3 linked regions of the Ovis aries genome follow. The main gene of each other region encodes a partner of the protein of the gene in region 3 in a complex. Links are inferred from orthologs where the notes say so. Each region holds a gene or a part of one and is shown on either strand. Other genes may lie near its edges.

Region 1 (9,539 bases), on a different chromosome or scaffold from region 3:
TTGCCTGAAGTCCCCTGACTGTGCCCCAGGGCCATAGGGCAGGGCTTGATCAAGTCTACTGGTCACACTCTGTCAGGGGTACCTCTTGGGAAGACTTTGCAATCCTTGATTGATCCACTAGTTTTTACCTCTTGAACATGAGGTTTTACTAGACCTTGTCCAATAAACAGTCGATAAAACAGTAAATATGAGTTGGGAGAATAGTTCAAAGCTTGTGTTCTGAAGTCTGGGTTTGAATCTTCCTTGCTGCTGCTAAGTCACTTCAGTTGTGTCCGAGTCTGCGTAACCCCATAGATGGAAGCCCACCAGGCTCCTCCGTCCCTGGGATTCTCCAGGCAAGAAAACTGGAGTGGGTTGCCATTTCCTTCTCCAAGGCATAAAAGTGAAAGGGAAGTTGCTTAGTCGTGTCCAACTCCTAGCGACCCCATGGACTACAGCCTACCAGGCTCCTCCATCCGTGGGATTTTCCAGGCAAGAGTACTAGAGTGGGGTGCCATTGCCTTCTCCGTTGAACCTTCCTTATCTTCTGCTTACTGCTCATATAACCATAGGCAAGTTCTTTAACTTCTCTCTGCCTCAGTTTCCTCATCAGTGAAAGAGGGGAATTAGTACTGACAGGGTTATTTCAAGGGTTAAATGAGTTTTAGTATATTAAATGCTTAGGAATGGAACTACCATTAGGTATATTAACAGATGTGGTGGAGAGGGAAAAACTGAAGCAGAATGGAAAACAATTCTCAGCTTTGAGAGGCTCACAGCATGTCTGAAGGAGTAAGTGCTGGGTGGGGGTGCATCAGGCAGTATGAAGGAGCCTTGGAGCCAGTGTGTGGAAACAAGACGATGGCTTCCATTGCCTGCTCAGCCCAGAACCTCCTACTTGTTGGCCCTAGTGGGTGAGGGGAACATAGAAACTTGTCTCATTTTGGGAGTGGAGGCAGATGCTAGGGTGATGATTGTGCTGCCTCTTCAAGGTGGTGCTGGGCCAGGCCACTTCTGGAGATCCTAGGGGACTGCCTCTTATCCACTACTGCCTTTTTGAACATCCAGCATTTATTTCATTTGTTTGGCTCATCCTTGTAGTTCTCAAACCTGGTCCTCATGATTTACTCTTTAATGAGTTAAAGATATTCAGTGGTTCTATGAGGAGTTCTTTAGTGAGTTACTTAAAAGATTTTAGACCCTGCCCCCACAAAAAAATCTGTAGTAAAAGAAAGTGCGTTTATTTATCGCCAGACTTCTCTAAGCCTTCCCTATGTTCATGTGAAATTATGACTCTAGACAGGCAGGTATTGGACAGTGGTTTTTTCAAACCAGTCTGACCACAGAACTTTTTGAGAAGCATCTTGAGATTCTATGGAATCTTCTTTGGGAAGAATTGAAAATTTACAGAGGTGTTCAGAGGTTTGGGGGGGGTGTATAATTAAGCTGATTGGCCTTTTATTGGGCATCTATAATATACCATCTACTTTTAGGAACTTACTATTATTAGATAGAAATTATTATTATGTAGATCCCTGTCAAAAGTTAAATAACAATTCAGATAGCTAGAAATACCACAGCCTGAATTCTTCAAACTTTATAAGTCTGAATCTGCAAAGTCACATGCGGATATCCACCATTTTTAGAGCTTTTTCAGGATACTTTCTCAAATGAAGTCAGTGGCCTTGTTAGTCTTTTGTAGTGAACAGATGGTAAGAGCTTTGAAGGAATCTCTATGAATACCATAGGCAGTGGAGAAAGAAGAGAGGGAATGAGAATCTAGGAAAGAGGAAAGGAGAGGAAGTGTGAGGTTAAGAGACTGATAATGGAGCCACTGTGGCGATGCCCATGCCAGAAGTGCCTTGGCCTGTTTAGCCCCCAGAGCTCTTGGGTGTTCTTCATAAAACTCTCAGGGGATTGTAAAAACTGTTGTAACCTGAGGGCGGACATGCTTGGAAGTGATGAGTTGAGCGTGTACAGCTCTGTTGGTTAAAAGATAGCTCTGACTGCCTTGATTCTGATTGCTGACTATGTTCATAACTGCACATTTAGAATCCAGCACAGGTTTGATGGAGAACAAGTCAGTGAGGTTTTCCAAGTCCCAGCTCGGAGAACTCTGCTGTTGGTTCTGTTCTCTAAACTGACTGACTGTCTCCTTCCTTTCCCGCCCTTCTATTTCCTGGCTTTAGCTGTTTGTGGTTGGAAAGAGATGAACTAGGGAAAAGGAGCCGGAGCACATAGCTGTGGTGAGGTTTGGGCTTATCTGGAACTTACGTATATGTATTTTGTTCCCCCTCCTCTCCTGAAGCTTGATTGCCCCATATATATATATAACATGTAACTGCTGCAGCGGCACACAAAAACAGGTATTTCTCTATGGAATAATTGTAACATCATTAGAATAGGAAAAGAGGGAGTTCTTGGTGGTTCAGTGGTTAGGACTCCAGGCATTTGCTGCTGGGATCTTGGTTCAATTCCTTGTCAGAGAACTGAGATCTCGCAAGTTTCCCAATGTGGCAAAACGAAAGAAGGAAAGAACGAACCATTCAGGAATGGAAGGAGCTATTCTTTTATAGTAATTTTGTTCTATCTTAAAACATAGCTTGTTGTTGCCACTGATTTTTGTAGAGTACATCCCCAATTGGGAGTGAATGCCAGGGGAGAAGAAGTCTTCCTGAAACACGCTGCTGTGCTCCTTGCTCACCAGCCACACTGTGTTTGCATTTGTATGCGCAGCTGTGCTGTGAGTTTCTCAAACCTGGGGACAGATTTTCATGTAACTTTTCCTCACTTGAGAGTTATGTTCATTATTAATGAACACGGTCCCTAAAGGGTGACTAGTGAAAGCCATATTGGCATTTGTACCTTGGCGTATTGTTGGGTAAATTCTAGGAAGGGAACTTTTATTCCTAGGTGTCACCAGGACAATTCTCTAAGCCAGGTTCTCGAAGGTTCTCCCTACCACTCTGCCCTTAAGGCTTTCTTGACCAGGCAGTACAAAGTCGGTCTTCTTGGAGCTCACACTGACTCTGTCCTTCACATAGTTCCACAGGCCTGAAGGATCACTGTAGCCTAGAGGTGATAGATGAGGTAGCCATGCGTCTTCCTTGTTTACCAGGCTGGAGTAGGAATTATTACCCATCAGTTTTGAGCTTTAGAGAAGAGAAACTCCAGAATGTAGCACCACTGTGCTCTGGTATGGTCATAACCAAAATCCTCTCTCCAGTCACCAGTTCTGCACTTGGAGCTATTGGGGTTGCATTCTGCTGGTGTCTGAGGAGTGTTTGCCATAGATGGACAATCCTGGGTATGAGCATGTATTTCAACATCTTGAGTCAGAGAGACAGCCAACATTACTGACTGTGGGCTATTAACTCGTTTTAGTTTATAGCCATGAATTCCACAGATGGACTTTTGCAATGTAAGAAATGTGCATCTGTCCTCTACATTGTGTCTCGGCCTTTGTTTCATATGGGTGGAAAGAGAAGTCACTCATGAGTATACATTCTGTATTGAGGACTTTTGGTTAACCTCCAAAGTTTATCACTTCACCTCTCCCCACTAGAGGATTTTAAATGTACTTTTTCTGGTCTATCTGGACAGAGTGTTGTCTAACACGGAACGAAATAATTTGGTCTCATTTTTTAGAGTGGCGAAGCAATTTAGACAGCTGGGCTACCGCAGTGTTCCTGTTTCGCAGCGTTAACAGCAAAGGGTTTTTAGATGGATTGGCTAGGTTTTTGTTTTGACTGACTGGTTTTAATAGGAGTGGTGAGGGTAGTTTAGGCCCTCTCTTTAACAAAGAACTCGAACAAGTAATTTTCACAAAACAAGTACAAATATTCAATAAATGTGAAAAACATCAAACAATCAAAGATGATATTTAAGAAGAGACACCCCTGCTGTTCTGGCAAGGACATGGGGGAAATGGGAACTCATAATCCACTGGTGTGAGTGTGAAATCATAAAACTTTTTGGACGACAGGCAACATAAATCTTGGTGTTCTTACCCTTTGATCCAGCAGTTGCATTTTAAGACGTTTATCCTAAGGAGGTAATAAAAAATGTTCATTAATAAAAGCACTCATAAGAGCATTGTTTGCATAGTGAAAAATTGAGAATAAAATATCCCACCTCGTTGGGATAGCTGCTGGGACCTATGAAAACTGAGAGGTTGCTACATTTCCTGAGGTTGAAAAGAAAAAGAAGACTAACACAGCCTTGAACCCTTGTACTCTGCAAATGGAATAGCCACGGAACGTTTTGGGAGAATGAACAAGAGGTTTCCATAGTGTTCTGTCTTTGGTCCGATATGTGAGCTTGTCATGACGGGCGTGGTTGCTCTCTCACAGCCTCTGTCTCTTCTCTGCTGCAGGTAGTGATCGCTCACCTTCTTCCCAGGGAGCATTTGAGCTACAAAGTATGATTTTAGTTTACTGTTAGGAGAAGGGGTTATTTAGATGATTTTTTTCCTTCTCTTTCTTTCTGGTTAAATATTGAGTAAATATGTACGGGGAGATGCTTAAAATCTGCATTTCATCTCCAGTATATCTTTCAATAATACCCTGCTCTGTTTTTTTTTTAGGGGTGAGTCCCTCCAGACTCCGAATAGGAGATCAAGAATTTGATTCATTGCCTGCTTTACTGGAATTCTACAAAATACACTATTTGGACACTACAACGTTGATAGAACCAGTTTCCAGATCCAGGCAGGGTAGTGGAGTGATTATCAGGCAGGAAGAGGCAGAGTATGTACGAGCCCTCTTTGACTTTAATGGGAATGATGAAGAAGATCTTCCCTTTAAGAAAGGAGACATCCTGAGAATCCGGGATAAGCCTGAAGAGCAGTGGTGGAATGCGGAGGACAGCGAAGGCAAGAGAGGGATGATTCCAGTCCCTTACGTGGAGAAGTATAGACCTGCCTCCGCCTCAGTATCGGCTCTGATTGGAGGTAACCAGGAGGGTTCCCACCCACAGCCACTGGGTGGGCCGGAGCCTGGGCCCTATGCCCAACCCAGCGTCAACACTCCGCTCCCTAACCTCCAGAATGGGCCCATTTATGCCAGGGTAATCCAGAAGCGAGTCCCTAATGCCTACGACAAGACAGCCTTGGCTTTGGAGGTACATAATGTGCAAAATGTAGAAAGAAGAGATCTGCTACAGGGTCTCCCTTTCAGACCTCTTAGAGCTTTGTAGGAATGCTGAATATAAGCAGCAGCATTGTAACATTGTTATAGATGTTGAATGGTACTTTTACCATTAAGTACTGATCTTGGCACTTAATGTTGGGTTTTCTCTTTTTTATAGAAAACCTATTTTGGAATGAGTGAGCTTAAAACTGTATAACTGAATGTTCTGATTGATTTACTAAACCATACTTTGACTTCTTTAATAACACTACCTGAATTCACAGGAATTAACCTAAAATATTTTTTTTCATCTACATTCTAACCTGTTTCTTTCTGTTTATCGTTATCTAAAATAAGTGGGCTCCACAAATTTGAGTATAAGTGGTCTCTATCAAAATACTTAAATGAATTTTCTTATAGAAATGTGTTTTTACTTTAGGGGGCTTGGGGCTTCTTACCATGACTAATTGTATAGGTATAATGAGATAGATACTCAAAAGCGTCAGTTCCAAGAAGCAGCAGGTTTACTTGGTCTTTGTTGTTTGCTGCATTTTATCCTCGAGAAACCAGTTCCTCCTGAGGAGTAAATTTTCACCTTTACTGGTGAATAGTTGTCCTCGGTAGCCCATCTCTGGCCAGCCATCACGTTGTTTATTCTCGTCTTTAGTGCTCACAGCTTTGTTTCTTACCTCCTCTCTTCTTCCCTCCTTCCCTCCCTGTCTTTCTGAGTTATGCAGAGATAGTGGTTCAGCATAAAAGCTAGAAGTGGCATGCTTTCCTGTCTTTCAGAGCCTTTCAGATACGATAACTTTAAGCAAGTAGCTAAATTTCATGAGCATAGGCTGAAGTTACTCAGGGGTGCAGGTTAGCAGAGAAGGGGCTAAAGTATTAATATATTTTTGTAAATGGAAATCTCTAAAATCCTTTGGATCATGCTTATACAGTGAGGAGTGGGAGTTGCCTAAGTAAAAGGCTGTACAGTAAGCTGAAATTTATTTGAAGTAGTCTGATATTACTGGATTTAAAATTTTTCATTTGCATTCTGAAGAGTTGGGTGCAAAGAAGGATTAGGTCTACAGGTTTGACTGAAAAAAATGTGTGCTTTTAAAATGTGTATATTTTGAGATCATGTTGTGACTGAAAAGTATTGTGTCCTGCTTTTGATGAGAAAGGAATTATATGTTGTCTAGGTCACACTACTTTTTCCCACTTAGAATTTGGAGGATAAGGAAAACAAGTTTCTAGCTTCATGTTTTCATTTAAGTTCATACGACGGCAGCAGCCAAGCTGGTGCTGTGCCCGTGACAGCTGTGACTCTGGACGCTTATTGCAGGCCCTGTTAGCCGGGCTGGAGTGTGGGAATAGCTAGCTAGCACCCAGGAGAGAATAGTTACCACATTAATTTTGCTTCCATTTGCAATTCCTTTCTCAAAGAAAATTGGTTTGGTTTGGTTTGGTTTTGACCTCACTGAGCAGTTTCCAGGATCTAAGAGTCAACACGACTGAGTGACTTCACTTTTACTTTTCACTTTCATGCATTGGAGAAGGAAATGGCAACCCACTCCAGTGTTCTTGCCTTGAGAGTCCCAGGGACAGGAGAGCCTGGTGGGCTGCCGTCTGTGGGGTCTCACGGGGTCGGACATGACTGACTTAGCAGCAGCAGCAGCAGCAGTTTCCTAACCAGGGATTGAACCTGGGCCCACGGCAGTGAAAATGCTGAGTCCTAACCACTGGACCATCAGGGAATTCCCAGAATTGTTTGCCCCAACGATGCTTGCCTTAATTAGAGGCTTTAGTGCTCCAAAATGGTTGAGCTGGTCTCCTACTGTGAAACCTAAATCTTGTGAAATAAAGACTAAAGTAGAAGAGTGCTTTATGATGTCACTAAGTTTCCTTTTTTGGTTGGGTATTAGTTTGGAGCCACATGTGTTGACTGATGATGATAGCCTCTTTCACGTTAGAACAAGTACCCCAAATAATAACTTTAAAAACACCTTATGTACTTAAGAAAACATCATGTAAGTTTAGCATCACAGAAATCTAAAGCTAGAAAAGACCTTAGATACCCCTATTCATTTATTGAAAAAAAATAAGAGATGGATCGAATGGGTTGTTTAAACTAGTTGGAGATATGAGGAGTCCAGATCTACAGTGGCCTTTTCAGCCACGCCCAGATCGCATCTGGGGCACTTTCTCTTTCGTAGTGGTGATGCTGCCCTCCCGTCAGTTTTGTGTGGTGTAACTGGCAGCATGTCCTTGCGTGTGGTCTCCGTGCCGGGAGACAGCGTTCCTTTCCTATTTCTGGTTTTCCATAGGAGCTGATGCCTAGTCCCTGTGGAGACGAAGCCAGGAGATAAGGTTAGGAAGCTCTGACTTTCTGACCTTCGCATTCAGATGAGAAAAAAGTTCATTGCTGTAGTCGACCCATTATAGGTTTAGATCTGTAGACAAACTAGGCACATTTCAGTGAAGTTTTACGGTTACCTTGAAATTGATGTTGAAATCATTGCATTTTAGAAGTGGACAGAACCCCAGGTATAATAAGGGTTCAGACTCCTAGTATTTCCCAGAAGGTAGCTGAGGATGCAACGCTCTGGGTTACCTCTCTCAGTCAAAGCAGCTTTGTTTTTACTGTTATATATCGGTGTCTCTCTAAGGTTTTTTTTTTTTGAAGGAAGGGTTTCTGTACTTAAAGAGTATGTTCAGGATCCACCTGTCCTCCCCTTACAGATGGATGTTTCCTGCATGGTATATTTTCTGTGACCAGAGTCCTCCAGTAGAATATAAGTCAATGACTACTTCCTCTTTTCCCACCCATCAGATTTCTCTAGTAGGAATGAAGGTTGTTGGAAAGAAGGCATTAATTCTAGCAAACAACCAAAGTAAGGGTATTCCTTGGTTCACTGTAACTCTGGGGGAATGTAACTGAACCAGGAGGACACCATCTGTTCCATCCTGGAGCTTCTAATAAAGACAGATTTTAAACAAATGTATTTTGAAGGAGACACACTGGAAGTAGCACTAGAACAGTGCAGAGGCACCATTTACTTTTTTGGTCTTAGATTTGATCTGAGATTTCTGTTTGATTGGTTTTGGTTTCATGAGTCATGGCTCCTTGGGAGCTGGAATAGTGATGAATCTTATCTTGTAAATTGCAGGTGTTAAAGTTTATTTCATGCCTCTGTAGACTGTCCAGATCAATCACATTATCTTGGAATGTACTATCATGTAACTTCCATTTTCTGATTCAGCCTGGCCTCTTGCCTTTGATAGATAAGACTTCTGAGTAACCAAGGAGCTTTTCAGGTGGACTTAGGTGTGAACCTGTTCTTCTGGTAGCAGATAGGGAAGACGTAAAGTTCCATGGGTCCCTGATTATATGCAGCAGTGACCATATTAACTCTACATCTCCCCATGTAGAGCTCTGAAACCTTAAGTTATTTAGGCCTTTTGACCTATATATGGAAAAGTGAAGTGAAGATCTTAATTTCCCCTTTGTTCCAGAGAGAAAAAATGAGATTAGGAAGTGTAAGAACTGCATGACAGGTCTTGGCTATATATGTAATAACTTCATACCCACTTGAAAAAATAATAAACATAATTGAAAGAAAATAATATTTTCATTTTAATAAAATAGTTTCAGTTACTTAACCCCCCATTAAATAGCAAAGTTTCTCAAACCTTGGGATCATATGGAACATTGCCACCTTCATTTCCTGTTCCACACCTGTTTTTTCATAACGTACTTGATTTTTATCATAGCAACTGCCAAAGCCCAGCTTTGCAAAGACATGACATCTTTGAAAGGGATGTAGTGTAATCTGATATCAAAATTGTTAACTGTTTTGAGTTAGTAGTTCACATGGCATAACAGACATCAGGTATTGCTGTTTCCCTCAAAAATACAAAATACTTGGTGGGACCCCTCAGAATTTGCTGCAGTGCCTCTGACTCTTCAGTTTGGGAACCTCTGGTCCTGTTGACTGTACTAGTTCTTAGAAAATTCCTTAAGTTGAGCTAAAATGTACCTGTTCTGTGTACCTCTCATCAAGAAGATGGGGAACTTAGTTTTAGTTACTATCAGTTGTTGAGCTACAGAAAAATCTTTTTGGACTCGGACTACAATCAGGGTAACACCTGTCTTCAGTGTGGTGCTTCTGCTTGACATCAGGAAGCATACCTACGCGTTAAATCTCAAAGACCTGCAATGATCCACGAATATGAGCCATGGGCATTTCAGTCCATCTCTGAGGCAAGTGAATCATTAAGACTGAATTGGCCTCACTTGTCTTCACTGATTTTAGAGATTTTAGATGGGCCTCCTAAATATTACGTATTCCTCAGATCAGGGATCTGCAGGCTTTTTCTGTAAAGGACTTTGCAGGCCATGCAGCCTCTGTCAGTTTGGCACTGTAGCGAGAAAGCAGCCAT
Region 2 (10,195 bases), about 210 Mb from region 3:
GAGAGCCTGTCTCTGCTGTTCCCTGATGCCCCTGCCCCCATCCTCCACAGGCCTCCTGGCAGGGTTCCAGGCCAGCAAGGTAGATAAGAGGGGAGCTGGCCTAACCTGGTGCTGCGCAAGGCCTGGAGCAAGCAGCCCCTCCCTCCAGCCCCGTAAAAGTAAGAAACTTGAGGCTTGGGGAGCTTATCCAGTGCCTGCAGGCACATGTTAGGGCCCAAGTGTGACCAGCAGTCCTGGGAAGTGACCACACTGACTGCACATCACCACCCTCCTCACCCCCCGGCAGGTGCTGTCCCCCAGGGCCAGGGTTGAGGACACATGCTCTCCAGGGCTGTAGGGACTGTGGTGTGTCCCTGCCCCAGCTCCACCCAGGATTTCCTGGGAAGTCCTTTTGGCTTGAGGACGTTTTTGGAGCCACAGAAATGACTGCCACCCGCCTAGCTGCTTCGGGCAGAAGCCTCCACATGGACGGCAGCACCAATCCGGCCACAAACACTTTGTCAAGTGTCTAAAAGGGGATGTTTTTGCTCGGTTCTGCGGCCCCACCGCTGACCCCTGCTACCACCACCTTGACGCCAGCCGCTGGCCTCCCTGCCCACATCCTGCTGGAGCTTCAGCAGTGGGCGCTTCCCATGCCGTTGCAGGTTTTTGCAGACAATCTGCACTGAAGCTGCTGGGCCTCCTGAAGCAGCCACGGGGATTAAGGCGGGAGGCGGGGGCCGGCAGGGACCAGCATTTCTGGAGTCTCCAGGCAGTGCCATCTGGCGCAGCAAGAGAGCACGTGGCTGTTTTGGAGCCTGTCGGATTTGCTTCCTAACTTGGCTTCTACCATTTAGCCGCCCAGGGACGTGGGCCAGGAGCCTGGGTCTACTCACCTATAAAACCCCATGATCCCAACCTCACTGGAGAAGGTGCTAGAGTATCTGACAATAAGTGCCATTGTCCCCCTGTAGCAGGATACAGAGGGCAAGGGGGCAACTGAGGCAGGAATGGGGGTTAAACGATCTTTCCGTTCCTGACTCTGCAGGCTGAATAATAAAGTCAGGCACGGTCTTAAGCATTTTACATATCAATTTATTTAACACAACACCCTATCAGGTAGATGCAACTATTATTCTCAAGTGAGCAAAGGCTCAGGAAGGTGAACTGCCTCAGTTCAGGTCACCCTGCTAGTGAGAGGCTGAGCCCAGCTAGTCAGCTCTGTCTATACCAGTGAACTCTGTTCCTGCTGCCTCTGGGCTGGAGATAAATGTCCTCTGATGCAATGTCTTCACTTGCCATTCAAGTCAACTGTTTGTTGAGCTCCTGTGACTGTGGCACGTTGTTCAGCCCCTGAATTCGGCATGAGCCAGACAACACGCAGGCCCTCGTCAGGAGGACACTGAGCAAGTCATTGCCTGGTGACCTCTGCAGTCCCACATATGCAGTTCTAAAACTATGATCTCAACATTCACTGATTGAAACCTCTGTGTCTGAAAGTCTCTGATGACAACATCCTTCAAAGGAACAGCTTATGCTCCACCTACAAGGGCTTCAAACCTTTATATGATTGTTGATGATCTGAGTGTGCTCAGGCTTAATTATATCCTAAAATACACCCCTTACCCAGCTAAAAGGTATGGCAGTGCCACCCAGGCTGGACACAGAAGAGCCAGGTGCCCTTCCTGCAAAAGCTCTTGGGTTTGGCTGGAGGGAAGTCTGAAGCCCAGAGGGGAGGCCCAGAGTTCAGATGGCCTGATCATGTGGCCCAGTTGTCTCCACAGCAGCTGCTGCTACAGTCCACATGGACTGAACCCTCCTTAAGCTGGAGCTGGGGGCTCAGACTCAGGCAAAACTGGGAAGGACAGAGGTACAAGCCAGGACTTGCCCTCAAGTCCCTTCAGAACAGCTGGGGAAGTGATCAAGTCCAGGCCAGTATGGTCTGGGCCAAAGGCAAGGCTGGAACAGGGTGGGGACCTGGAAGTTTCCCATATGCCAGGACAGTGGCACCTGGTGTCACGTTGCTGCCTCGGGAGTCTTCCGTTTCCTGATTCTTCACACAGCTGGTTGCGACAACTGCAGAGACAGGGGAAACTGAGTCACCATGAAGTCCAGTAGCGAAGGTAGAGAGGCTAGAACTAGAACCCAGACATTGCAAAGAGCAGCCCCACATCTTAAGAAGCCAAGTCTACATTGGACCCTGATGTCTCTTTCCATCAAGGCATTCATCAAGCCCTGCCTTCCTCAAGAATCCCTCCTGGGGGGCCTTCCAGCTGGGAGAAGGGAAGTGGGCAAGGAAACCTAGCCTGGGATTGATCCCCTCATCCTGGCCTGAGCCTTTGATCCAACAACTTTTCAACTTCCGGCCAGGATTCCGCATTCAGCTTCCCTTCGCAGCCCCTCCACACCCTGCTAGGGCCTGCCTGCTCTCCCTTTAAAGAGTGGAGGGGCAGCCAGTGCCCAACGCATGCCCAACGCATGCCCAACTGTGTGCCAGGGCCCATGCTGGGCACTGGGAATGTGTCAAGATGTCCAAATCGGAGGCTCTACTCTCAGAAGTCCCCAGTCTGCCCACTCATACACAGTAGTAGGTGCTCAAGTAACCCTCAAAGTGAACTGAAGCTCTAACAAGGCAAAGAGCAGTGAGTGAACCAGGACTCTACCTCAGGCCCCCCGCCCCCTACCCTCGGAACTCCTGATGCCCAAGGGGTGCAGAGGTTCAGAGTAAAGAGAGCCTACTGTTGCCCAAAGGCTCTCATTTTGAGTTTACTAGCAGTTACGGAGCATCTCCCCGGAGAAGGCCATGGCAACCCACTCCAGTACTCTTGCCTGGAGAACCCCATGGACAGAGGAGGCTGGTGGGCTACAGTCCATTGGGTCACAAACAGTGGGACACGACTGAAAAGTGACGCACGCATGGAGCATCTACTGTATGTCCAAGTCTGTTTTGGGTGGAGGCTCAAAGAAATAACTACTGCTGAGTTTGGGGAGGTCAGAGCATCAGCCACATCACTGCCTCACAAGAAGTTAGGGCAGGGACTGAGGAAGTCCTCCCAGTGAAGGGACTTCATAGATGGAGGAAACTCCATGTTGAGGCCGGAAGAGAGCAGGATGGTGGAGAGCGTCTGCCGTGGCTGAAGGAAGGTGAGTACCCCCATGAAAAGGGAGATGCCAGCAGAAACGGGTGCTACAGGAGAAGGCAGGGGTATCTCGTCCACTCTGCCAGGTGGGCAGGGTTGGGACAGCTGACCCACAGGCCATTAGAGGCAGTGAGGCCAGAGTTCCAGGGCCTTGTCCCAGGGCACACGGCAGCCAGGTGCCCCAGGACGCCAAAGTGGCCAGCCAATCATCTTCCAGCAGGGGCGAGGAGGCTGACCTTTGGCTCCAGGTGGCCAGGGAGTCCTTTGGGGAAATGAGTGGCAGGACAGCATCCTTTTGGGAAACCTGGATGGACCTGTTCTTGGCATCTGACTCCTAAGCATGGAACCCTGTGTCTCCTTTAAGAGGGTGCTGAGGTTATTTATACCTTGGCCCCGCAGGCCAGTGGGTGGGGCAGGAACCCAGGAAGCCAAGCTGGGCAGGCGCGGCGGCTGGAACGGGCTTACCTGCTTCCCGCCACCGGGGCTGGGCGGGGCGGAGAGGGGAGGAGGGGCCGCACACACAACCTGTGAATCGCCGGACGGCCGGCGGACCCACACTCGCCGGGACCGGCGGGGGACAACGAGGGGCCCGGAGGGGACCGGAAGACGCGAAAAGAGCGAGAAAACAAACTTGGGAGAGAGGAGTGACCTGGGGGCCGGGGGCGGAGTCGCCAGCGGGGGAGGAGAGAGCGAGCCGCAGCCAGAGCGCGGCTGGCCCAGGAAGCGAGGAGCACCGCCCACCCATCCGGGGCGAGAGAGGCGCCGCAGGCCGAGGCAGGCTGGGCCGGGGGCTGCTGGGCCCTCGACCCCCACCGTGACCCCGCGGCCTCCAGCCTGCCCCCAAGATGATGAAGAGGCAGCTGCATCGCATGCGGCAGCTGGCCCACACGGGCAGCCTGGGACGGTGAGTGTCAACTCTTTCCTCCCAGCCCCATCCTCACCCTGGCAGGACCCTGGGGAGGCCAAGGACAGCTGGACAGCCACCTTATGACTGGCCACCTCTCCTCCTTCCCCCGAAGGCCACCCCCACCTCCAAGGCAGGAGGAGCAGGCCCTGGCCTTTGGGGCAGGGGAACCCCCAGCTCTCATTGGAGGGTGGGTGGAGGATCAAGGATATTGGGTCTTAGCTGTCTCTAGGAGCCCTGGAGTGGATGGTCCTCCCTGACCTCACTTGTCCCCTCTGTACAATGGGGATGTTAACCATCCCTGGTTGCCTAGGGGAGGTGATGGTCGCTTAGGGACCCAGACCTAGGGGGAACAGAAGACACCAGGTGCAGGCAGTGATGGAAGGAGGGGCTTGCCCTTGTCCTGCCCTGCGCCTCTTCCTGCCACCACCAGCCCCGAGGCCTCCTGCTTCTCTGTCTTGCTTCTGCTTTTCGTAGCCTCAGGTGGAAACATCCCCAAGTCCACAAACCTCTGGGCTGGTGGGATGGAGGCCGGAAATATAGGGAGCTCCCAGAGCCTGCCTTCTCTCCTCTTACCCACTGGGCCCAGGGAAGGGGTCTGGGTGTCCAAAGACCCGCACAGACACCTGTGCAAGCGTGGGCAGCCAGGCCACCTTTCTCTGAGCCGCAGTGTCCACCCATGTCCTGGGCCCCTGCCGGCCACCACAGTCCAGAGTCCTGTGTGACCAGCAGCTTGGGAGTTTGAGCTTGCACACTTCCCGTTCTTGGGGCCAGCCCAACCCTCCTCTCCCTGGGTCAGCAGAAGAGAGACTCCTCCAGTCACCGCTTCAGTTTCGTCCGCCCTGTCTCAGGACACAGCCCTGGGTGGAGGAGGAAAAAGCCCAGTATCCCATTCCCACCCTCACGGAATGTGTTCCGACTGGGATCGAGTGGGCGGGCCACCCAGGGCGGCCTGACTGGGAGGGGCACTGGGAGGAACAGGGGTTCAGGTGCCCTGATTGGGGAGGGGGGCAGGAGGAGGCAGGGGGTTTCCTAACTTGGGCCCACTCAGCAGAACCTCTCTCCCCACTGCAGCACCCCGGAGACTGCAGAGTTCCTGGGTGAGGACCTGCAGCAGGTACGTGCCTGGGCCGGCAGCGGATGGCAGGGCAGGTCCGTACAGGCTGTCCGCAGAGGCCCAGGAGGGGATGCCAGTGGGGGCCCCCGAGTTGAGTCATTCGCACTCTGTTGGCCATGGGATCCCCGGGAGGAGCGAGAGAAAGATAGTTTCTGCTCTGGAGGAGAAGAGGGCAGTGGGGCACGGGGGATGACAACCCCCCATGATCTATAACCCCCGGACCCCCTCCCAGGTGGAGCAGCGGCTGGAGCCAGCTAAGCGAGCAGCGCACAATGTCCACAAACGGCTGCAGGCCTGTCTGCAGGGCCAGAGCGGGGCGGACATGGACAAACGGGTGGTAAGTGGGCGTCCCAGGGAGGAGGGGCTTGGGCAGGACATCTCGGTCCAGTGGGACAGTGAGGTAGGGGCTGGGGTCACCCTGCTAGTCTGAGTCTGGCACCAAGGGGGTGGAGGTTGCTGTGTCCCAAGGCTCTTCCGGCCCCTCACTCATGAGGTCCTATTTCTTCCCCTCCCCTTCTTGACCCCGCCCCCTCAGCGCCAATCCTCTGCACCAAAGCCAGGCCCCTGACCACCTGAACGGCTCTGTCCAGTCAGCACCCAGAGCAGGTGCTCTCAACTCCGCAGCCTGTGAGGGCTTCCTGAAGGAAGCGGCATTTGAACTGGATTTTGTGTTACTCACTAGTATTAATCAGCAGCCAGTATTTATGGACTGATTACGGCTAGTCTGTTGCTAAGATATGTCTATGCCTTGCCTCACTGAACGCTGACAACAGCCGTGGGAGGAGGCTGCCTTTATTAGCACTGTCTGCAGGAGGAAATGGAGATAGAGGGGTAGAGGGACTCGTTCAAGGTCACACAGCTAGTACGTGGCAAAACCGAAATTTGAACTCTGGTCTCCCTGATCTAAACTGGTGCTCTCCACAACACTAGCTAGGGACGTGGGAGGCATGTTTTATAATCAGACAACCATTCAGTATGGCCAGAGCAATAGGGAGCCATGGAGGGTTTCGAATTCCTCAGAAGCTAGGTCAGCTGAGGCCCTGCGGCAGGGGTAAGGGTCTACTCCAAGGCTGTCTTCCTGGCTCCCCAGTCTCCCCTAACTGTGCACGGACCTCAGGCAAGCTCCTTGCGCCCTGTTCTTAGTGTTCCATTCAGTGATGGGACTTGGTCTTTCCTTTTTACCCATTCAAGTGGCTTCTGGGAGGGGGCAAGGGGGCCTCAGGTGGGCCGGGGCTCTGCATTGTCACGCGGAGATGCCACCTCCACTGTGCCTTGTCATTATCTCGCTTCTACTCTCACCTGTCGCCGTGGCCCTCCTGGGTTCCTGCCGCTCGTGTCCAAGCCCAAGGCCTTGTTGGGGTTCTGCCACCAAGAGACTTGCCATGTGCTCAGACCGGTGGAGTGGGGGCTGGGAGGGTGGGGAAGGGTTGAGGGAAGCCCAGCAAGCATGCGTGTGTACTCACACTCACGGCCACCCCTGCTTCTCCCTGCAGAAGAAGCTTCCCCTCATGGCTCTGTCCACCACGATGGCCGAGAGTTTCAAGGAGTTGGACCCCGATTCCAGCATGGGGTGAGCATGGACAGGGCCTTCAGCCCTCACCTGGAGATGCCGAGGAGGGATCTGGGCTGGGAGAGAGTCCCGATCAGAGAGGGCACCCACTGTGGAAGGCTGACCTGGGTGGGAAGAAGGCCCGGGCTGGGAACAGTGTCCAGAGGTCAGTGAGGGCAGCCAGGCCTGGGAGGGCATTGGGCTCGGTGAAGATGAAGGAGAGACAGAACAGATAGGAGGTTGGGACTTCCCTGATAGTCCACTGGTTAAGACTCCATACTGCCCATGCAAGAAGTGCAGGTTCGATCCCTAGTCTGAGAACTAAGATCCCACATGCCATGCACATAATCAAAAGAATTTTTAAAAAAGAGACAGGAGGTGATAGGGAGGGAAGAGGCCCTCAGTCTCTCCAGAGAGGGGGTGAGGGGCTGTGGGAGCCCGGGCCCACTGGGTGCTGTGTCCACAGGAAGGCCTTGGAGATGAGCTGTGCCATTCAGAACCAGCTGGCCCGCATCCTGGCCGAGTTTGAGATGACCCTGGAGAGGGACGTACTGCAACCACTCAACCGGCTGAGCGAGGTGACCCCTCCACACACACCTTCTGCCCCCAGCTCCCCCAGCCCCCACCTCTGCAGCCCGCTGAACCCCCACCCCCACCTCCTACCCACGCCTGCCCCCAGGAGGAGCTGCCAGCCATCCTCAAGCACAAGAAAAGCCTGCAGAAGCTGGTGTCTGACTGGAACACGCTTAAGAGCAGGTGGGAGCCACAGCCTCTAGGGGGGTGGTTCACGCCTAGGTCAGCCCATGGATGTGGCCGCAGAGCTTCGAGACCACCCCCCCCACAACTAGGAGGATGCTGCAAGGTCCTTAGGGATATAGTGTGTTTCTTTGTGCACACACCTGGGGCTTAGGAAGACATATGGTAATGGTGCATGCGATGGGGCCTCTCTGCACATGCTTGTGCCAGCTGGAGGTAACTTCAAAACCTGGGAGAGCCATCAACAACCCTCCAAGAACCCTGGAGGGCGCCCACCCTCCACTCTGGAGGTGGATGGCTAGGATCACCGAGCCCGCCACCAGGGGGGCGCCCCAAAGCACTGCTCATGCCGAGCCGAGACCCCAGACCTGTGCCGCCCTGGGATTTGCGTCTATCAACCCCCAGAATCCTATGGGGTTGGGCCGATGGGGGGCACTTAGCTCTGAATGTGCCATGGGAACAGTGACCATCCCACCTTGGGATGATCCTCAGGCTGAGTCAGGCAGCTAAGAACTCCGGCAGCAGTCAGGGCCTGGGCGGCGGCCCAGGCAGCCACACCACCACAGCCAACAAGGTAGAGACGCTGAAGGAGGAGGAGGAGGAGCTGAAGAGGAAGGTGGAGCAGTGCAAGGTGAGGGGCACTGGCAGCTTCCTGGGGGTGGGGGTGGTGGGGTGGGCGCTGTCCCCACTGCACAGGCCGTGTGGCTAGGAAGCAGCTGAGCCAGGATTTGAATCCGGGCTGCCAGGCTCTGGGGTCTGTGTACTCAGCCGTTACCTGGTAGCTGCTTCTGTCTGTATCATACCCATAACACCTGGGCAGGAGGGGACAGGGAGGAGGGCAGGAGGGGAGAATCTTGGCGTGTTGGCTGAGTGAATGAGTGAAGGGTGAGTGAATGAGAGAGTGGTGAGGGTATATGGACACAGAGGAGAGGAACAGGAGAGCCCCTCAAGAGCTTGGAGGGGTTCCCGTGGGCTGGCCCAGGAGCAAACCTTGGCAGAGCGAGAGTAGAGTGGACTCCAACCCTCCCATACAACTCGGGCAAACCTCTACCTGCTCCAAGCTTCCCCAGCAGGCCCCAGCCTCCCTGGTACAAGCCCTGCTCTCTTTGTCCCCAAGGACGAGTACTTGGCCGACCTGTACCACTTTGCCACTAAGGAGGACACCTATGCCAACTACTTCATCCACGTGAGTCCAAGACCAGACTCCAGCCACCTGGAGCTCGGGGGCCACTGAGATCCCCTGCAAGGTGGTGGGAGGGAAGGGTCTGCGTTTGTGGCCCCTGGAGGAGACTCAGCTTCCCTCACTTCCCCCCGCCCCCCGGGGTGGGGGGTGCCCCCTTGTCCCCACAGCTCATGGAGATTCAGGCCGATTACCATCGCAAGTCTCTGAGCTCGCTGGACACGGCCCTGGCTGAGCTGAGGGAGAACCACAGCCAAACAGGTGGGGACCTGACCCCCACCCCTGTCCCCCACCCTGCTCAGGGCCTGTTAAGAAGCTTGCACTCCATCCCGAAAGGCACTGGGGAGCCCGGAATGAGTTCTATCCAGGGGAGGGCTCAGTGAGATTTGTGATGGAGAGATTGCTCTGGCGGCTGCATGCAGAATAGAATTAAAGGGCAGGATGGAGACCTGTTAGGAGGCAGAAGGGAAGTGACGGAGGCCCAGGCTGGGGTAGAGGCAGTGGAGGTGGGTGGTTTGGAGAGATGTGTGGGATGGTTTCAGGATGTGTCCTGTGGGTGGTCAGGAGGGTGGTGGAAGCCCCCTGACCTGGCTGCTTAGAGGTGGGAGGACCCTGGGCCGCTGATCTGTCTCGTCCCTGCAGACCCCTCCCCTTCGATGACGGCCGCCCCCTTCTCCAGGGTGTATGGGGTGCCTCTGGGAATCCACCTGCGAGAGCTGGGCCGGGACATTGCCCTGCCTATTGAGGCCTGCGTCATGATGCTGCTCTCTGAGGGCATGAAGGAAGAGGTGGGGCTCGCTGGGGCAGGTGGGGAAGGAGCACGGGCCCCTCATCTGGTCCCACCCCTCCCACGCATGCCTGTGCTGGGGTGTAATCCCACCATTAGCGCCCAGGTGCCAAGAGAAGGCATGGCCTCCTGCAGTTGAACTGATGCCACCTCCCCCTTAGTGATGCTCACATGGACCAGGCCCTGTGCTATCAACCCTTTGCACACCTTGCTCCATTGCATTACCCCAATAAACCTTGCAGGGAGCCTTCCATTTTTGCAAGAGGTAGACAGAGGCCAGTGGGTCGGCGTGCCCAGTGGCAGGTGAGAAGGTTGGTGGAGAAGCCGGGGAAGCCACGTCAGTCTCGGCCCCGTGCTGCCCTCATCCACCCTGCGCTCCTCGGTCCTGCTAGCACATCGGCTGCTTTCCTGAGGGCAGGCCTTTAGGAGGTGGATCATGCTTCAGAGACAGACCTAGGCTTCAGGACAGTCCTGCGGGGCCTCTTGTCTTTCCTCCACTCCCGTCCAGACTCCAGTCTTCTCATGATTTTCCCAGCTCCTCCCAGGCTTCTCGTTTTGCTCAGAATCCTAGACCTTGAGAGTCGAGAGGAGCCATGGACACAGTAGTGTTCGCTCTGCCCACCAGCCCATGGGGCCCCCGAGGCCCCCTTCCCCTGGGCCGGGAGTGGACCAGTGCCTCCTAGGCAGGGGGTCCTGCCCCTACCCTGACCCCTCTGTGACTCCCACTCGCCCCCTCTTGCCCCTCAGGGCCTCTTCCGTCTGGCCGCTGGAGCATCGGTGCTG
Region 3 (9,988 bases):
TGAATCACAAGCTGGAATCAAGACTGCCAAGAGAAGTAGCAACAACCTCAGATATGCAAATAAAACCACTCTAATGACAGAAAGTGATGAGGAACTAAAGAGCCTCTTGATGAGGGTGAAAAAGGAGAGTGAAAAAGCTTGCTTCAAACTCAACATTAAAAAATCAAAGATCATGGCATCTAGTCCCATTACTTCATGAAAAATAGATGGGAAAAAAGTAGAAACAGTGGCAGGTTTTATTTTCTTGGGCTCCAAAATCACTGCAGATGGTGATTGCAGCCATGGAATGAAAAGATGCTTGCTCCTTGGAAGAAAAGCTATGAGAAACCTAGACAGCATATTAAAAAGCAGAGACATCACTTGGTTGACAAGGGTCCATATAGTCAAAACTACGGTTTTTCCAGTAGTCATGTATGGATGTGAGAGTTGGACCAGTAAGAAGGCTGAATGCCAAAGAATTGAAGTTTTTGAATTGTGATGCTAGAGAAGACTCTTGAGAGTCCCTTGGACAGGAAGGAGATCAAACTAGTTAATCCTAAAGGAAATCAACCCTAAATATTCATTGGAAGGACTGATGCTAAAGCTGAAGCTCCAATACTTTGGCCACCTGATGTCAAGAGCTGACTCACTGGAAAGAAAACCCTGATGCTGGCAAAGATTGAGGGCAGGAGCAAAAGGAGGCAACAGAGGATGAGATGGTTGGATGGCATCACTGACTCAATGGACATGAGTTTGGGCAAGCTCCGGGAGATGGTAAAAGGCAAGGAAGCCTGCTATGCTGCAGGCCATGGGGTCACAAAGAGTCAAACACCATTTAGCGACTGAACAATGAACACAACCCCACCAACTAGAATGTAAGTTTGAGGAGGGCAGGGAGGTGCTTTTACCCACTAATGTATCACCAATGACTAAAACACATGGTGTGAGCTCAATAAATATTTGCTGAGAAAAGAAGGACACATTAAAGTAAACAAGTTTACTAGAGAATGCTTTCAATCCTGTTTTACCAACTTTCACAAAAGTGAATTTTTAGTCAAGACACTGAAATTTGGAAGGAACAGAAGGTCCATGAAACAATACCATGGTTTCCTTCCCCCCGTTGCCTGTACATATGGCTAGCCCTTTGACCTGAATAATCTTAGCAAAAAGCTGCCAGCTGCCCATTCCATTCAGGTTCATCACCACCACCACACCACACAACATTATTCTGGGCTTCCAGATTCATGTCTGGTCCAATACTGTATGTAATGGCTGCAAGTTTTTTAATCCAAACTATATGGATATTAGCCAACTCTAGAAAGATCAGCCTGTGAGAGATCAAGAACCATTTGCTCCCCTGGGAAAAGTATACCCAAAGTCTAAAGAAATTCACTTGTCTTCAGTTAAAACATGATCTAGGCAATTTCTTTCATTAAACAATATTTATCACAAAGAATTGACTATTTGGTTGAGATGTCATCAATTTGTTCTTTAGACCCTCCTAATTTGGGTATTACAAAATAGAACAAATTTGTTGTATGAAGTCTGAAACATCACAAATGCAAAGTAAAAAGTGAAAGTTTTCTGCTATTCCACCTAACTCCCAATTCCCTAGAGATTAACAATTATGTCAGTCTAAATGCTTCTATACTTTTTTCTGTACATGAACAAATAAATAGCTAATTTTTGTTTTACAAAAATGGGGCCACACCATGCAGACTGATCCCCCAATTGCTTTTTTCCACTTATCATTACACCGACAGCTTTCCGTGTTGGCATTTACAGTATGCTGGCAATAAACATCCTTATGTGATTTCGTATTTCTGTTTGTTTGCTCACTCCCCTACATGACTTCTTGATAGACTTTCTATAGCAATAGTTTAAAAACTTTTATCTCATGACCTCTTTACACTCTTGAAAACTAAATAGAACCCGAGTGCTTTTATTTATATAGATTATCTCATCAATATTTACTATAGTATAAATTTAAACTGAAAATTTTAAATTATTCATTTGTTCACCTAAAAAAAAACATGTTTATTTTCACTGGGAAATGCCTTGTTTACCCCCATTTGTAGATAACTGTAGATACTGTTCTTTGAAGCTACACCAAACTCAGTAAGTGGTAGTTTCCTAAAGGCTAGTTTTGATACAGAATCTAAAACTCTTATCAATTAATATTTGTATTGTTACATTAAAATTCAATGGTCCATCTTGCCCCTCGAATGAATCTTTTTTACCTGTGCTTGACTTTATAACATCATGTGTTGTCATTTACAAAATATCAGTTCACTGAATCATGCAGGCCTTCCAAATAATGTATTCCATTATAAGATACCAAAATAGTGTGTTTATAAATATTATCACCAATCTCTACTTCACAGGAGCAGATACAAGTTTTCCAAAACCCTAATTGTTGCTGGAAAGCAAAGATGTTTTCATTGACAACAGACACCACCAGCTGTTCTCCTTGAAACACTTTTTAATACATTTTAAAAATCTGAATAACCACAGTTTGTCAGTAAAAATGGTAGTCTATGAAAAAGCAGCAAGTTCGGCTTGAACTAACCACTGCCCAAAGCTCTTCCTAGAGACAAACAGCACACAGAAGTACTTTCCAGTTCCTTCAGTGAAGATTACAAAGATGTATACATAATACTTGAGAACTGATAAAATTAATACTTCTTGCTCTTTCATCAGGAACATCCTTAAGTGAAAACCAAAAAATATACGTATGTATGTATTTTTACTAGTTTACTATGAGTGCGTGGCATGAAGAACACAATGGCTGCTATGGTTAGTTGCCACAACCTTGATTCATGCTTAGAAGCTGCATTACTTTTGCACCATTACTGCGAAAATTGCAAATAATGTCTTGTGTGAGTGCATGCTAAGGTCAGCTCAGTCATATCCAACTCTCTGTGACCCCATGGACTGTAGCCCACCAGGCTCCTCTGTCCATGGTATTCTCCAGGCAAGAATACTTGAATGGGTTGCCATTTCCTTCTCCAGGAGACTTTCCTGACCCAGGGATAGAACCCTCAACTCCTGCATTGCTGGTGCACTCTTTATTGCTCAGCCACCGGGGAAGCCCAACATCTTAGAATTGTGTTTTTGTGAAAAGCTTTCACCTCTGGACCCTCTGAAGGGGTGAAAGGCACACCAAGGGCACTACACTATTCCATGCTAGGACAGCTTCCTAGAAGTGAGATTACTGGGTCACTGCTATGTACATCTTAAATTCAGATATGATTGGTCAAAGCTCTCCAAAATGTCTGTACCAGTTTTCACTGGGGGTGGCAGAGGATGAGATGGCTGGATGGCACTACTGGCTCAGTGGACATAAATATGAACAAACTCCGGGAGGCAGTGAAGCACAGGGAAGCCTTGCAAGCTGCAGTCTATGGAGAAAGTCGGACGTGACTCAGAGACTGAACAATTTTCACTACCTAAGGTTGCACGATCATCACTGGTTGAAATGCAAATAATTCACTTACAAATCTTGATCGTGGGAAGTACCATAATACGCTATTTACCTGTCTAAAACCAATGCTAAAATACAACTCGTGTTTCAAGGCAAAAGTAAAATCCAAGTACCCAGATTATTTAGAAAATCAAACCTCAACTGTCAAATACAAGTTCACTGAATAGAAAACTTTGTTTATTGCAGTCACAGGTTGTTAAGGGTATTTGTGACTGAATTTCAAAGTATATGCTACTTGCACACGTCTTCCATTTGCTTACAGAGGGTGGGTGGGCTTGACTGATACTTAAATAAGTACTAGGTCTGAAAAATGTCAGGCTGTGACAGTACAAACAGGATACTAATTAATTGGTGCGTGGCTGGCCCCTGGCACAGACATCGGTCTAAGCTGATCCTTAGCGTTAAAATTTCACGCAGAATTACTGGACGTGACCAGAATAATATGTACTGTCAGCACTCAAATGCCAGTGGTGTTCATAAAAATGTCAAAGACAACCTTTCTTGCCCCAAGAAAGGAGGAAAAAGCTCCATTCTGAGGATAGGACTACTCCCCGTCTCAGGTGAAACCACTGAAAGCTGGGGCTCCTCAGTTCACAAGGAATGTGGCCTCCCTTCAGCTGTTTCCACACAGCTCCAAAGTGAGGATTTTCAAGTTCTACTTATGACTGAAAAGATCAAGGTTATTAGTGTCAACTAGGGCCTGTGGTTTTCAGCTCTGGCGAGTGCACAAACCCCTTTGAGGATAAGATTGAAAGCTCCCCACAGATAAAGCAGTGAAGGATCCATGTACCTCAGAGGAAGGAAGAGCCCAGGCCGTAGGTCAGAGCAGAATCATGGACTATGGATCCTGAGAAATCCCCTAAGTCCAACCTTCTCAGGAAGCTGGAATAGTAAAATGGCTTGTCCAAGGTCAACGGTGAATTAGATAGGGAATCAGGCAAGAAATAAGCAGTAAGACTTCGAATAAAGCCATCCAGTGTCATCAAGTAACTTTTTCTTATACAAAGAAAGTTCCACCGGAGATTAAAAGATACCTAGAGGAACTGAAGTTTTAAGTAGAACTGGAAGGAACCAACACAAGCCCTGTGGTTCCAAAGTTCCTTACGCATGGCAAAGCGGAAAATAGGACCAGAAATCTTGAAGAGCACTCACCGTGTTCCACAAACACATTGCAGTGTGGACCCCCGTGCCTCGATGATTCCTTCTTGCCTGCTCCTTTGATAAAGTGCAGGGCAGGCAGACTTGGCCTCCTTTGGTCCCCAAGAACTTTTCCAGGCTGCTGCCCCATAAAGCAAGGATAGGCACCCCTTTCCAGAAGAGGGTTCAAGATCTTTCAGAATGATCAGTGAGCTGAGAAGGAAACGGTCTTTACGTGGGATTTCACATTCACCGCATCTCCACCAGTCAGTAACTGAGGTCAATCACAAGACATCTTCCACAATAAAAGGAAGTGAAGATTTTAGGTTGACGTGTGCAAACAGGAGTTCCGATTATATTCGCAGTTTATCAACTCGAAGTAATGTAACTGCAGTGCGACCTCAAAGTTCCTGGATTTCAAGTGTCTTTTACTGGCTAAGTTTCCTCCCTTTCAAGGAGAAAAACCTAAAGAGAAATATTCACAGGGGATGCTGTACAACGGTCAGTGAGGCTAAAGTCGTGTCGATTTCCACACATCGAGGAAACGTGGATCGGTCTTTGAATGCTCCTCCAGAACTTTTCCTGGGGAAGTCACCCACCCCCTATCTTGGTGTCTCCATCTTCCAACAAATTTCCTGCCACACTAGCTGCCGCTCCTGCTTTTTCTCTACTCTGCTCTCCGGAAAAGGACACGGGTCACCCCGACTTCAGCGGGAGCTGGCCCTCTGACGAGAAGGAATGCATGGCCAGCAACTTTTTAAGTCCGCTTTTTAAAAGGCCTGTGAAACCAGTCCAGGCTTTTCCTCTGCATTAAAGTTTCTGGCTGGGCTGAGGCTGAGGGGGCCGTAGGTGACATTGGAAGAAGTCAGGGCATTACAGGCTCACGGGAGCAACGTTGGGGGGCTGGGGAGGGGAGGCCACTTGACAGCAGGGAAGGGATTTGAATGAGGGGGGCGCTCCGAGGCCAAACTTGAGGCCGGGATTCGGAGTTAAGGGGCGGCTCGGGGGTAAAGAGGGAGGCTGCCGGGGCGGGGGGCACGGGCGGCTTACTCCGGGGGCGACGCTCCTCCAAGCCTCAGGAAACGGGGTGTCCCCAGGTCTGGGGAAAGAGACCACAACCCCAGGGTCCCAGAGCCGGGATGGAGCTGATACGGGACGACGGGCTCTCGCGGCCCCGAAGGCGGGTAGAGGATAGAACCGGGAGGAGGCCCGGCGGCCTCAGCTGCCCCGAGCCTGGGGGGGGAGTCTCTGTCCGAGACACCCCCCTCCCCCGGGCCCGGACGTGGCTAGGGCCGCCGCTGCCAGGCAGTCACATCCCCCGGGCTCCGTCGCAAGACCCGGCCTCCCCGCCCAAGTAGGGGCCGTGGACAACGCAAGGCGGGCTCCTCAGCTGCAGGACCCAGGAACCGGTTCCGGCTCCGGCGCTGCTCAGGGACGGTCACCGACCCCCGCGGCCGCCATGATGGATTACTAGCCGCTCCACAACGAGGCCAGGCCCCGCCCCGGCCCCGCCTCCCGATGACGTCCGGTGCGCGCTTCGCGTGGGGACCGGGACCCTCCAGACACCGCTTTCGGAGACGCTGCGGCTTCTTTCGGCTCTGGTCCCCCTGCCCTGCAGGGCCTGGCCCCGTACGATCTGTTAAATGTGGTTCTCTAGAGGGGCAAGAGGAGTGGTAAGGAAGCTCCCGCCTCCCCTGCACTGCCATTGGTCCCCGAGAATCCGGGTCAGCTCCCTCTCCTGCATCCCATTGGCCGACGGGGCTAGAGCTCCCAGCCAACCACTTTCGGCGTAGCCCGTGGGGCAGGCCGGGATTTGTGGTCCTACGGCGCCCCCGCCCCCGCCCGCGCTCGCCCGAGCCTGGCCTTTTGCTCCCGGCTCCTGAGCGTCGGTCCCGCCCTCCTGGGAGCCGGTGGACTCTAGCCGGCCTCGCACGGTGCTGGCCAATGTCTCCCTGAGCGGGTTGGTAAGGCCGGCGAGGAACCAAAGCAAGGGGAAAACTGCGGATTGGATTTCCCCAAAACCGGAGTTGGATCGCTTCTTTGAGCTTCTTTAGGAGAGAGAATTTAGTTCGCTCCAGGAAACCGACGTTATTTGGTGCCTCCACTGCCGCCCCTCACCCCGAACTTCCACCTTGACTCCAAGCAGCATAAATATTAGAACGAGCGAAAAATAAACAACTGGAGAGCATCGACATATTGCTAACGAATTGTTTCTTTGGAGTATCAGGGAGCCCACTCATTAATAGCATTTTAAGAACCTTTCGGAGGCATCGCATAAACATAGGTGTTTGAGTGAGAAAGAATCTTTAAACTGTCCACTGATGTATGTCAACTTCTCAAGAAAACTGGAGGTGGGGGGGAACAGCAGAAAAAGATTACAATATCTAATTTCAGGGGTGTACACATAGTCACATGAAAACATGTTAGCCGAAACTGCTGAGTTTACAGAACTAGCTAATGACCCGTGCAACCGGATCCACACATGCCATAACCCATTTTTATGCAACTAAAATGTACCCTCCTGGTCCCCTTCTTCACTCTCCAAGTCTCCCCAGAGCAATGCACCTGCCAGGATATACCCATCTCTAAGGGAATCCACTCATCACACCTAATCTACACTATGGTCTTCCGCTCTTCATAAACCATATTCTCATTTAATCCTTACTGTATTGTAGCCCAGTAACACAAGTAATGTTATCCCCTGTATACAGATGAGAAAACCAAGATGTGAGTTACTCAAGGTCACTGGCCTAGTCATGTGACAATTTGAGCCCAGATTGATACTACTCCAAAGCCTTGAATTTTCTCTTGTACCATTCAATATCAAGTAACTGTTGATCTAATGTTAGTTGATATTTTAGAAATTGCTACTGATAGTAGGGGAAAACCAGTAGCATTATAGGTGTTGCATGCTCAGTTGTGTATTTTAGAAATATTTCTGCTGGATTGGGAAATGGTGCTGATTTTATAGATACTGGCTTGTAAACATAGAGTTCCCTGGAGTTACTGAATGTGAAGCGAATTCAGAAGCAGAATTTAGATGTTAACTGGGTTAGCTTTGCTCTGTCACTGAGTAGTCTGGCTGATGAACGTCATCCTGGCTTATAGATCAGTCTTCAAGCATCAACGCCCTGTTCCCTCTATTTACCCATCATCTTATCTTTACCATCACCCTTTCTCTTTGAAGATTTCACTTTTTATTCCTTTTCACGCTTTCATCATTTCCTACGCATCTTCATTCTTCACTCTCTAGCTTAAAATTGACCAATCAAATCAGAACTCTAACCCACACTTCTTGAACTAATAAATCATTCATAAGCATTATTCAGCCCGTGTGCCAAGCACTGTCCTAGGTGCTGGGATACAAATGAAGCGCAGGGGTGGAAGGACTCATCCTTGTCTCCCACAGCAGACATGGGAGGGACAGGCAGTGTACAAAATGAGTAACAATCCAAAGTGTAGGTCTCAATGCTGGAAATGACATTTCTGGACCCCATATCCTTTCACTATCAGTCCAACCCCTTCTCTCAAGGGTTGCTTTATGATTCATCCAAAGAACTTAAGCCTACTGATCCATAGTTGCTAATGAGCTTTAATGAAGTCACTTTAATTATCTGAATGGCTTTCATTTATAAACGAGTCATATCAAACTTTACAAGGTTATCATGAGAATCAAATAGGACTTTATTTCCCATAAATATTGAGACTAACTATGCTTTAGAGGCCAGCAGCACTTGATTTAAAGGTTTATCCCTCCTCACAATTTACTTCCTGCTATTTTCTAGTTTTAGGTGAACCCCCAAGCCAGACTATAATATTTTTTTCCAGAGATGCACTGTGTAACACTGTAGAATGATATTCTTAAGGACTTAAAACTAGAATCCAGAGCCCAGCAAATGCCTGACAGAAGTAAATAAATGTTGCCAAATTTGAATAAATCCCTTTAAGCTCATATATTCCACTAAGAATGACGTAGTTCAGCCTAATTTTGTGCTCACGCTTATAAAGCAAAGCAACCTACACAGTGCTAGAGGAATTCAGAACCGGTGTAAAAACTTCAGCTTTATTTAAAAAAAAAAACAAAAAAACTTACTGAAATTATGCTTAACAAGGGCACCCTCTAGTGGGCCACAAGAAAAGTACCACTTAGTAGGTAATCACTATTCAGGATATACTGAGTGAACATTACAGGCTGGCAGCTTGGCAGACCAAGTGAGAAGGGCAAACATTCAACAAACCCACTTATAGCCCTGATCAAAACCAACCCAAACCAGGCATGCAGGCTCCCCTCCTTCCCCATTCCCTTCCCTTCAGGGACATACAACCTAGAACATGATCTCAAAAACAGGGAGCAAACCTACATTTGCAACATAGCCTGGGCAACACTCAGTTGACTGCAAACTCCTCAAAACAGGAGACAGACTGAATATTATAAAGACGTACAATTTAACAAAAAAGAGCTGAGCTATGTTTCAAAACTGTCATATGCTCCAAATCACTACTGAAACTGTCCTAGGGTTAAATTGTACTAGGTGTTCTGGGTTTAAATTTAAGGGCCTCTGTCAGAAGAATTTCTGTCTCCCAAGTCATCCTTCACCTGTATTTAACTCCCAAGTATTACACAGAATACAAGAACAGAAACAGTGATGCCACATACATAAATTAAAAAAAAAAAAACCAAACAGCTCACCAAATAGCACTCTCATATACTGACTTTAAAAGAACTGTTTACCCCAAACCCAAATCAGGGCACCATGTTTAGAAAGTCATTTGAAAAATACACAGGAATTCTAGCCATTCTCAGTTACACAGAACTTCAGTATCTAGTTTTTACCTTTCAACCCTGAATTATTCAAAATCAAATGCATTGCTGCTTCAGTTATAGGAGGAAAACCTTTTCTTTTTCCATCTCCACTTTTTTACTTTGTTTTCACGTTTATCAGAGCACCCAAAACATTCATTCTCTCTCTCAATTATTCAGCTTCTTACAGATCATCCTCAAAGGCAGAACAGATTAAGGCAGCCTGGCGGGGATGTACTTACATCTGTCACTAGGAGGAACATGTAACAGGAAATGAGAACCAACCAAGCAAAAGGCTCCCCGGTCGCTGTGTCCTTCCACTGACTCTTGGGCTCATTTTACCAAGCTACAGTCTTCAGTGTCATTCTCGAGATGCAGAGGAGGTGAGAATGGAGGCCAAAACTGACAACTGGGGGGATCAGGGAGGCTATGTTTTATATAGGGGCAATTTCATGGGGCACTGTGCCTGGTGAGTTGACAGTGACTACAAGACAAAAGATTCCCCGTATGATTCCAGGATAGGAGTCTATTCGGCTGGAACTCGGAATGCTTTTAAGGGTCTGAAACTACCCATAGCACCCGAAGTC

Evidence for each region.
Region 1: the proteins of ABL1 (region 3) and CRK are in contact, whole or in part, in an NMR structure (PDB 1JU5), measured with the Homo sapiens proteins. The link is inferred for Ovis aries from reciprocal best matches to the Homo sapiens genes ABL1 and CRK. Residues at the interface, in NP_005148.2 of Homo sapiens: Tyr70, Phe72, Asp77, Asn78, Thr79, Asn94, His95, Asn96, Gly97, Glu98, Trp99, Trp110, Pro112, Ser113, Asn114, Tyr115; in NP_058431.2 of Homo sapiens: Pro44, Asp46, Asn63, Gly66, Pro67, Arg68, Pro69, Pro70, Val71, Pro72, Pro73, Ser74, Pro75, Pro80, Gly81, Ser83, Pro84, Ser85.
Region 2: the proteins of ABL1 (region 3) and SH3BP1 are in contact, whole or in part, in a crystal structure (PDB 1ABO), measured with the Mus musculus proteins. The link is inferred for Ovis aries from reciprocal best matches to the Homo sapiens genes ABL1 and SH3BP1. Residues at the interface, in NP_033724.2 of Mus musculus: Tyr70, Phe72, Ser75, Gly76, Asp77, Thr79, Asn94, Glu98, Trp99, Trp110, Pro112, Asn114, Tyr115; in NP_001303613.1 of Mus musculus: Ala607, Pro608, Thr609, Met610, Pro611, Pro612, Pro613, Leu614, Pro615, Pro616.

The regions. Positions count from the first base shown.
Region 1 is NC_056064.1:22,467,839-22,477,377, reverse strand, and holds part of CRK (adapter molecule crk), read left to right. Parts: intron 1-4,564; coding exon 4,565-5,100; intron 5,101-6,780; exon of another isoform or gene 6,781-6,853; intron 6,854-9,539. UniProt on the Homo sapiens protein: Involved in cell branching and adhesion mediated by BCAR1-CRK-RAPGEF1 signaling and activation of RAP1.
Region 2 is NC_056056.1:215,310,736-215,320,930, forward strand, and holds the start of SH3BP1 (SH3 domain-binding protein 1), read left to right. Parts: upstream 1-3,964; coding exon 3,965-4,023; intron 4,024-5,097; coding exon 5,098-5,140; intron 5,141-5,372; coding exon 5,373-5,477; intron 5,478-6,633; coding exon 6,634-6,710; intron 6,711-7,155; coding exon 7,156-7,267; intron 7,268-7,368; coding exon 7,369-7,445; intron 7,446-7,937; coding exon 7,938-8,076; intron 8,077-8,562; coding exon 8,563-8,631; intron 8,632-8,795; coding exon 8,796-8,886; intron 8,887-9,267; coding exon 9,268-9,413; intron 9,414-10,159; coding exon 10,160-10,195. Other genes in the region: uncharacterized protein LOC105609488, read right to left, coding at 1,800-2,055, 3,585-3,985. UniProt on the Homo sapiens protein: GTPase activating protein (GAP) which specifically converts GTP-bound Rho-type GTPases including RAC1 and CDC42 in their inactive GDP-bound form.
Region 3 is NC_056056.1:5,918,050-5,928,037, forward strand, and holds the start of ABL1 (tyrosine-protein kinase ABL1), read right to left. Parts: upstream 6,087-9,988; 5' UTR 5,457-6,086; coding exon of another isoform or gene 5,358-5,456; 5' UTR 4,752-5,357; coding exon 4,616-4,751; intron 1-4,615. Other genes in the region: umcharacterized LOC128092248 homolog, read right to left, coding at 5,358-5,456. UniProt on the Homo sapiens protein: Non-receptor tyrosine-protein kinase that plays a role in many key processes linked to cell growth and survival such as cytoskeleton remodeling in response to extracellular stimuli, cell motility and adhesion, receptor endocytosis, autophagy, DNA damage response and apoptosis.